Linked DNA regions of Coturnix japonica. The protein of the gene in region 2 purifies or fractionates together with the protein of the main gene of each other region. This does not show direct contact. Links are inferred from orthologs where the notes say so. Each region holds a gene or a part of one and is shown on either strand. Other genes may lie near its edges.

The links. The genes of interacting proteins can lie anywhere in the genome.
Region 1: the proteins of EXOC1 (region 2) and EXOC7 purify together in Homo sapiens (affinity purification with mass spectrometry; 4 studies listed by BioGRID and IntAct, counting the BioPlex papers as one, with this or other methods). This does not show direct contact. The link is inferred for Coturnix japonica from reciprocal best matches to the Homo sapiens genes EXOC1 and EXOC7.

Annotation. Positions count from the first base shown.
Region 1 is NC_029533.1:3,918,576-3,922,917, reverse strand, and holds the start of EXOC7 (exocyst complex component 7), read right to left. Parts: upstream 2,827-4,342; 5' UTR 2,717-2,826; coding exon 2,657-2,716; intron 2,448-2,656; coding exon 2,382-2,447; intron 1,637-2,381; coding exon 1,452-1,636; intron 1,323-1,451; coding exon 1,217-1,322; intron 818-1,216; coding exon 595-817; intron 1-594. UniProt on the Homo sapiens protein: Component of the exocyst complex involved in the docking of exocytic vesicles with fusion sites on the plasma membrane.
Region 2 is NC_029519.1:58,597,718-58,601,278, forward strand, and holds part of EXOC1 (exocyst complex component 1), read right to left. Parts: intron 1,053-3,561; coding exon 903-1,052; intron 1-902.

The sequences.
Region 1 (4,342 bases), on a different chromosome or scaffold from region 2:
ATTCTCAAGTTTCACAGCCCACAGAGATTAAATGGGGGGGGGGGGGTTCACTGTCTGAAAGCAGAATATAAACTGACTAATGAGAATGAGCCATATATACTTCAGTTACTTCCTTTCATCATGGAAAAATTCTTAAGCAGCTTTTAAGGCTGTTTGTCACACTTGCTTGGCACAGTAATCCCCACTCAGAATTAAATCATTGCAGTGGGGGTAGCTCTAGTAGCTGCATGTATGTGAAAGAACAGCCTTCCTGTAACAGGTCCACTAAGTCATTCCAAACCAAAGGAAAAGTCAGTAATAGAATATAAGGATGCAGGTAAACTCTGATGCTGCAAAACAGAAAGGAGATATATTGACTGAAGAAAATATTTTTGTGCTGCTTTTATAGCCCTCTTTGGTCACGTTTAATTAAAAACGGTTTGCTCATTAATCATTCACAAGAGGGAGAAAGTCATAGTTCCTTGCACATTTGTGATATCTGAGCACTAGAGGATTGCAGCTCCAACACCCTGCCCTCAGGCCCTCAGGTGATGACCAGTGGAGAGCACTGACTCAATACAAAACTACAAGGGAACACCACGCAGCTCTGCCCACCTTGATTCCTGCCATTTTCCACCAGCCAGCCAGAGATACGGATGACGTCGTGCAGGACGCTCTCTGGGAGGTGTTCTAGTGCCATCTCCTCCTGTGTGTCCATTTCATCATCTCCACTGATCAGGTCCAGGATGAGGATGGGTGGGACAGGCTTGGTGTGTCGCGTCATCAAGCTGCGGAACTCTGATTCCAAGGACTCTTTTCCCCTCTCAAAGAGGGATTTCTGGCACAAACCAGCAGAGGACAGAACAGGGTTGTTGTAATCAGTCACTCACAAGTCTTTCTGCATGAGATTGCACTTTCTGCAGCGTTTCTAATCACTGTCAAGTACTGCATGCTTCAAACTCCAGTGCCTGTAGCTAAGAGACTTTTAATGACTTAGTTACATATGGAATTGCCTGGGAGTTGCTCAGTATATAAAGCATGAAAAGAACAAAATATCACCAAGCAAAATTGCTGTCGGGCTAGGACAGAAACCAAAGCAATCATTTCTTCAGCTGTGCCCAAACACATTCTTTATCAGGCAGCAAGCCCACCAGCCTCTCACTGCCCACAGAGGGTAAGTGGCAGGGTTATGGCTGTTCCTATCTTACCCATGCAAGCTTCCAGACCTGCGACCTACCACACGGTTCAGCTCCGGGCTGTCTGGATTGTTGTCCTGGAAGTATTCCACTGCTTTCTGGATTTTGTCCATGCAATTCAAGTACTCCTCCAGCCTCCCAGTGGGGCTAAAAATAAAAGCAAAAATAAAAAGGATCAGAAGAAGAAAAAGACAAAGTGTGTGGAGTCAGCGCCTACCTCTGCCCCAAGAACTGACAGGATGAAGCACCCCAGCAAGACCTAGCTACCAAACTCACCCTTCCTTTATGATCTTCTCTGTGTCCTTTGCCACATGGTAGTAACTAATGACATGATCCAAGCAGGACAAGGTTTTTTCCACGTTCTCCTGCAAGCGCTGTAGATTCTCTGTCTGTTTATGGACAGGGATGATCGAGTTCTCCAGCTTCATCAAACGACTTTCAAAGGAGGAAAGGATAGAAACCTACATGTCAAGAGAGAAAAAAAGAGTTGAGGACATCCCTCCACATGAATTCACACTACGGGTTAGTAGCTAGAATAGGGCAATTAGGCACCTTCAGGCCCCACTTCTGTTCCATGGCCCCTTAAGGCAGGCTGTTTAAACTTTCTATGTCCTAATGAATAATGAATAATTACAATACAGGTCACCTGCTGTCAAAGATAGACCATCCTTACATTTGTAAAGCATGCAAAACAGCACTAAGGGAGAGCAAAACTTGACTTGATAGCAAGAAACAAAGCCACTGGAAATGCCTGGAGGTGCCTTAGATAAAAGAGATCAATAAAAACAACCTGGCAGCCACTTTGCTCCATAATACTAAGATGTAAAACAGAGACAACACAAAGGCACATTGTGGCATTAATGTCCTTTTACATTGCAAGTATTTGGCTTTTAAAAGGGTCTGTCACTTCTGAACTGTGGAAAATAAGCCCACAGAGGGTGACTTCACATCATCCCTCCTGGGTCAAAACGCAGCTCTTTCAAGAAGAGAAAGGACAGACTGTAAGGACATGAAGCCTTTGCTTTGCACCCACACCTCCCAAGGAGGGAAAGTATGGGTTGGAAACCAGCCTGTGGGGTGTAAAAGCAAGTGATTTATTACTCTGTATTGCTCAGACAAGTACAACACCACCCTTAAACATGAGTCTACCTAAGGATGAACAGCCCCTGACCCAACATTAAGGCTGCACCTCCAGGAGCTCCTCACCATGTTCTTTGTGAGCTGGTCGCTCTTCTCAAGGCTCTCTTTGATAAAGGACAGCGTTTCTTCTTCCTGCAGTCACGATAAAAAGCAGTTTTCACTTCAGACCATCGAGCATTGAACTCACTATACACCAAACGAGGGTCACACACCCACAGCTGGGAGACCGAGCACAGGGTAGGCCGCACACAGACACCCATGAACCCTGAGGAGACATAACAGGCCCCTGATAGCCGCAGGCCCAACCCCACCTCCAAGCACTGACCCCAGCCCAGCCCCACCTGCTTCAGCTTGTCCTCGATCTCCCTCCTGCGGGCCGACATCTCCTCTGTTGGGATCATGGTGCTGCGGGGCGCCAGGGCCGCGCTCCACACACAAACCCCGCTACCACAACTCACTTCCGGCCGGCCACCACCGCGCCGCCATTTTGGGTGCGGCAAGGCACGTTGCGCATGCGCAGAAAGCCAAAGCGCTATCTAGAGAATGGCTTCCGGCATAGAGGAACCGGAAAGAGGATTGGGGGAGTAACGCGCATGCGCATTGTTGGTCGCCACCTTGGGTGTGGCGTACAGGCTGCGCCGCCATCTTGGGAGGGGCGTGGTGTGTCCTAATATGGCACCCTTTATCTGCCGGGATGGATGTGCAGAGTGACCCCAATGCACTGAAAGACACGAGGGGGTCCCAGCGGCTCCAGGGCGGGCACCTGGAAGGAGACCAGTGGTCCTGCAGGAGGGTTGGGTCCATGGCTGGGCCCAGTCCTGCTCTACTTACTGTATGGCATCACAGAGCACATCCCACCCCCCTGTGCTCTGTCACTGCACTGGGCTCATACAGGGGCTGCCCATAGAAGGAGGAAATGCAGCAGCTCAGTGTGCGCTGCTATTGTGTGCTGCTAGGAAATGCACCCATTGCAGGAAGGGGATGCACGACAGGGAATGCCCCAGTGTGACCCAGCACCCTCTGCTGCTGTCAGACCTGCTGTGTGTGCCATAAACCAAGCACCCCAACCTCCTGCTATAGGGGCTGGACCTGTGTCCCCATCTATCTTCCCCTTATCAGCCCACCCTGTGCTTGGTGAGGCTGAGGCAGCCCAATGGGTCTCTATTCAACAACAGGTGGGTTTTATGATCCACCTTATCACACAGCTGTGTGCCGACCAGCATGAAGGGCAATGTATTCCCACCCCACAGCCCCAAAGTGGCACCACACAGGCAGAGATATGAGCACTGTGACACGGCCCTGCTGCTCCCCTCAGCCACCCTTTGCATCTTGAAAGGCAATAACACAGTTTATATCCCATCCCGCCTGCTGCTGCCGCCTTCCCACCCCGCCAACAATCTCTTTCCGCGCCGAAGCTGCCGCCTGCGGAGGATGAAAGGCAGTGAGTCAGCAGTGCATGGAGGAATGCTGCTCCTTTTGCTCCATGGGAGGGTGTCACCAACGGCCGAGTTGGCACCGTGCTTTGGTTGGGGCTGCTGAGTCCATTTGGCACCGAGCAAAGCTGCTGCGCTGCTCTAAAGCTGCAGGTTGGGATCTGATCAGAACCTGATGGCTCCGTGCTGTTTGGATGCAGCATTCAAATGGCATCGCAGCCCCCTTGCTCAGCAATGGGAGGTTTGGGGTGCTGGGCTCCCAAATACTGCCAAGGAGCAAAGGTGAAGATGAAGCAGCAGAGCTCGGCCCTTGGCTCATTGTAAGGTGGTTGGGATCAGTCCCTAAGGGTTGGCCCCATAAGTCCCCCCCACAACCCCATCCACTAGCCCAGCACAGACACAAGCTGTGCTCTCCCTCCCTCCGGCTTTATTTGCAGAGGGAATTAAGGTCCTGCTGGGAAACCTTCCCCAGTGCTCTGATAGCTGCCCACATAGCCGGCTCTAAATGGCTTTTTGTAAATGAATGATCAGGATTAACGAGGATCCCCTGGCACTGTTTACTTAGTGCTGCCGTTGTGGATGGGGATGGGGTGC
Region 2 (3,561 bases):
ATAGATCTTAAAATAAAACAGCATGACAGTGCAAGTTCTACTGAATAACTATTAACTGTTTTGGACTGTACAGATGTATGTCATATGTCCCCAGAAACCACTACTGCACCTCTGCAAGGAAACATGTATAGTGTGACAGATGCAGATAGGATTACAGATGGAAGAGCATTATGGAATTTAATTCAAGAGTAGAATGGGGGGAATTCAGCTCCATTGTTCACAGTCTCAGTGTAGCATGCCACTCCTAAACATCCTCCATTGTCCTCCTTAATTACACCTTCAGCACAAAAACAAAAGACCTGAACAACTTCAGGATGCGCAGTCTTTGTGTGCTTACTATAAGATTCAAAGAATTCCAAATTCAAGTTTGTAACACTGCCAAAGGAAGTTAAGGAACAATCTTCCTCTGACCTCTGAACACTTTTTTCCACTTCATCTAAGCTTTATGCAAGACAGTCAACAATTACATACGCAAAGCCAAAACGTCCCTATTTGACCTACTTTACAAAAAACCTTCTGAAGTTTTTGACAGTCAAATGAAATTAAGAGAATAAAGGCTGTTGAGATAAAAATGTCATAAAGGTGAACAAGCACATCAACATGAAAATAGCTTAATTATTTATCTTACTAGACTGTAAAATGGTAAACTGGCTTTACACAGGGGTTAATGTCAAACGACACTTCAGAACAGACAAAACATCTTAGGAAAAAAAAAACAAATACAGGATACTGTCATACAACAACTACTGAACATGACATTTCTTATTCCAAAGAGAAATAAAAGAACAGTGAATTTAGCATGAAGGAATATTAACAGAGCATACACATAGTCACAGGTAACTCTTAAATTTCAAAACAGTCTACTGTGTAAATTCTGTAGCATTAACAAGCACTTCACATACCTTTGTTAACCCTTCATATTTTCCATAATCTGTGTTCTTGAGCCACTCCATGAGTTTTGCATAGCGAAGCAAATCTCTGTGAAATGGATGGTGATTGGGTAGCGTCAACTCAACAGAGTGCTGGGCAAGAGTAGAACTCTGATCGTGACCCTTGAATAAGAGAAAGTATTAAAATAATTCTAGAAGCACAATACAGATGTATTACAGAGGTTCCAAAACTTGAGAAAAGACAGCATACCATTCAGAGAAACAGAAAAAAGACCAAAGTATTAGGGCAGCTCTGAAGTAATGCCTCCCATTTATTCTCTTGGTCAATAACATCAGAGGCAGTGTCAGTGGTATGACTGTAGAAGCTGAACCTCCCTGCCAATATTCTATTGTATGTTGTTGCCATGTGACAAATGGCAGCAAAGGGGTAGTCTGACAAAATGGTATCTGACATGGAAGTGCATATGATTATTATTAAACCAATTTAGTTGCATCTTAAAAGCTTCAGCTGACATACATTCCATCATTGTCTCTGAAGCACACACACATTTTCAGTACACATTTATGAGTTAAGCAGTTTAGGACATGCAGTATAAATCAATCTCTTTAAGAGCAAGCTAAGTTTATACTCCTTTTTGCTCGTGTGCTTCCTGAAAATCAGTACCACTCAAATGAAGATCACTTTATATTTCTTGAACAATCTAAAATTTGGCTGTCATATTCTTGAACTCACAAGATTGCTGGGCAATTCAAGGAGCAATACAACACCACAGCTGTGCACTCTGCTACACAGCTCAACCAGATATAGAGGTAACTCTGTGACACCAGTGTTAATGGAACAGAGGGCTCAGTGTCAAAATGCTGTTCTGAAAACAATCCTGTGGCTAAACTCCAGCAAAAGGCTAATTTCATGAAGTGTAATTACTGCAATATATGATTTCAAATTGGAATCCTGCATTAGCCACATAGTTACTGAATATATACCACAAGTGATCACAGCAGTCATACTTTCTACTGTGATCAAGTATTTTCTGTATTTTACTGTGAACAAGTATTTTCAATAGATCTTCAATAAACTTTTATGAAAACTTGATAAAGAACAAGTGTACAGTTCTCACTCCTATCCTCTGCTGTGCAACAGCATGTGTTTTAATTTTCCACTTCATTAGTTAAAGATAATCTACCTGATGGCTTTCTCGACTCCCTTTGTTAAATCAGAACAAGTACATGCTTCCAGTATAATCTATAAGTCAGTAGGATGAACAATGAGTATATACTACAAATCTATATCATACGAGTTTATACAAAAGAAGTTTGTACTTCTAAACTGTCATACTTAGGCCACAGTGTCCCTGGAACTGCTTCTTCATCTTTGTTCTGAAACAAAGCATGTCTTGCTGATATTAGCAGCTGCTTAGATGTCTGCACATCTTCATTTTGATTTGCTACCTTTGTCTTATTTAGATTATTCCTTTAGTACTTTTTTTTTAATAAACATTCTAAACAAATAATACAACTCTTCATAAGCTAAACTGTTTTGCTTAGATGTTTCAAAACCGTGGGACTCAGAAATAGTTAGTCTGTTCATCAGATTAACAGAACAATACTGTTTGAATGAAGATAAAAAAAATTGTTACATCTGTAACACTTGAATAAAACCTCTGAACAAGGTACTCAATTCTTTTTTCCTCTTCAAAAAGCTTAATGCGAGGCTCATCTATCACAGTTTACTATTCCAGCCAAATCTTGCAGTGATTTTTTTTAACAGCTGATTAATGCTTGATTAGCAACAGCTTTACAGAGGGTAAGTTTATACAGAAGACAATATGAGGTCAAAGTTAGTACCAGAATTAAAAACATACATTTCTTACAACTATGAGTTTGCAGTGTTACTCATTCTTAATAGCGCTGGTAATCTCGTTGACAGTAGTTCACCTCATACGCACAATATTACACTGAAATAGTAATCGTTTACTATTTTTTAATAAAAAAATCCTTGGTGCAGAACATCAGAAAAGACATTCTGTTGAAAAGCTGCTTTCATCTGCAAATCTAAGATTCAGATTTCATTTGTGAGTACCTTTACATTGGATAATTTCTATTTGATCATCATTTAAGGCCAGGACAGATGGCCTGCACTCTGCTTTTCCAAACACAACAAGTCATGGGAGAAATGTACTTTCTTACAAATAGAGCTAAGGATAAAAAATTCAACATGCTATAGAACTCTAACTTCTCTGCAGAAGAAAACGTAGGAAACACTTTTCTACCATTAAAAGAAAAACAGACTTGTACTCTCAAATGCTATTTCCTATGCATTTTTCCAGCATAACTCTATTCCACCTCCTGCTTGCAGACTAAAAAAAAAAAAAAAAAAAAAGCAAAAGTTCAGTTGCATTAATATGTAGAAAAACTGAGTTAAGGGTTTGTTTACAAATACTACTGTTTCACACCACTGTACAGTTATACACATACTACAATTTTCTGAAAGTAAATGTGCCTACGCAAACTTTGGAGATCAGAAGAATGTTTATCTAACAAGAAAATAAACACTGCTGGTAAAAGCACTGGAACTGAGAGGATGCAAGTCTGATATTCTGCAATCAATAAGGATTTCTTATTGTAAATACAAAGATGCAGCTGCTAGTTGGGTAAGTCAAGCTCAAAAAAA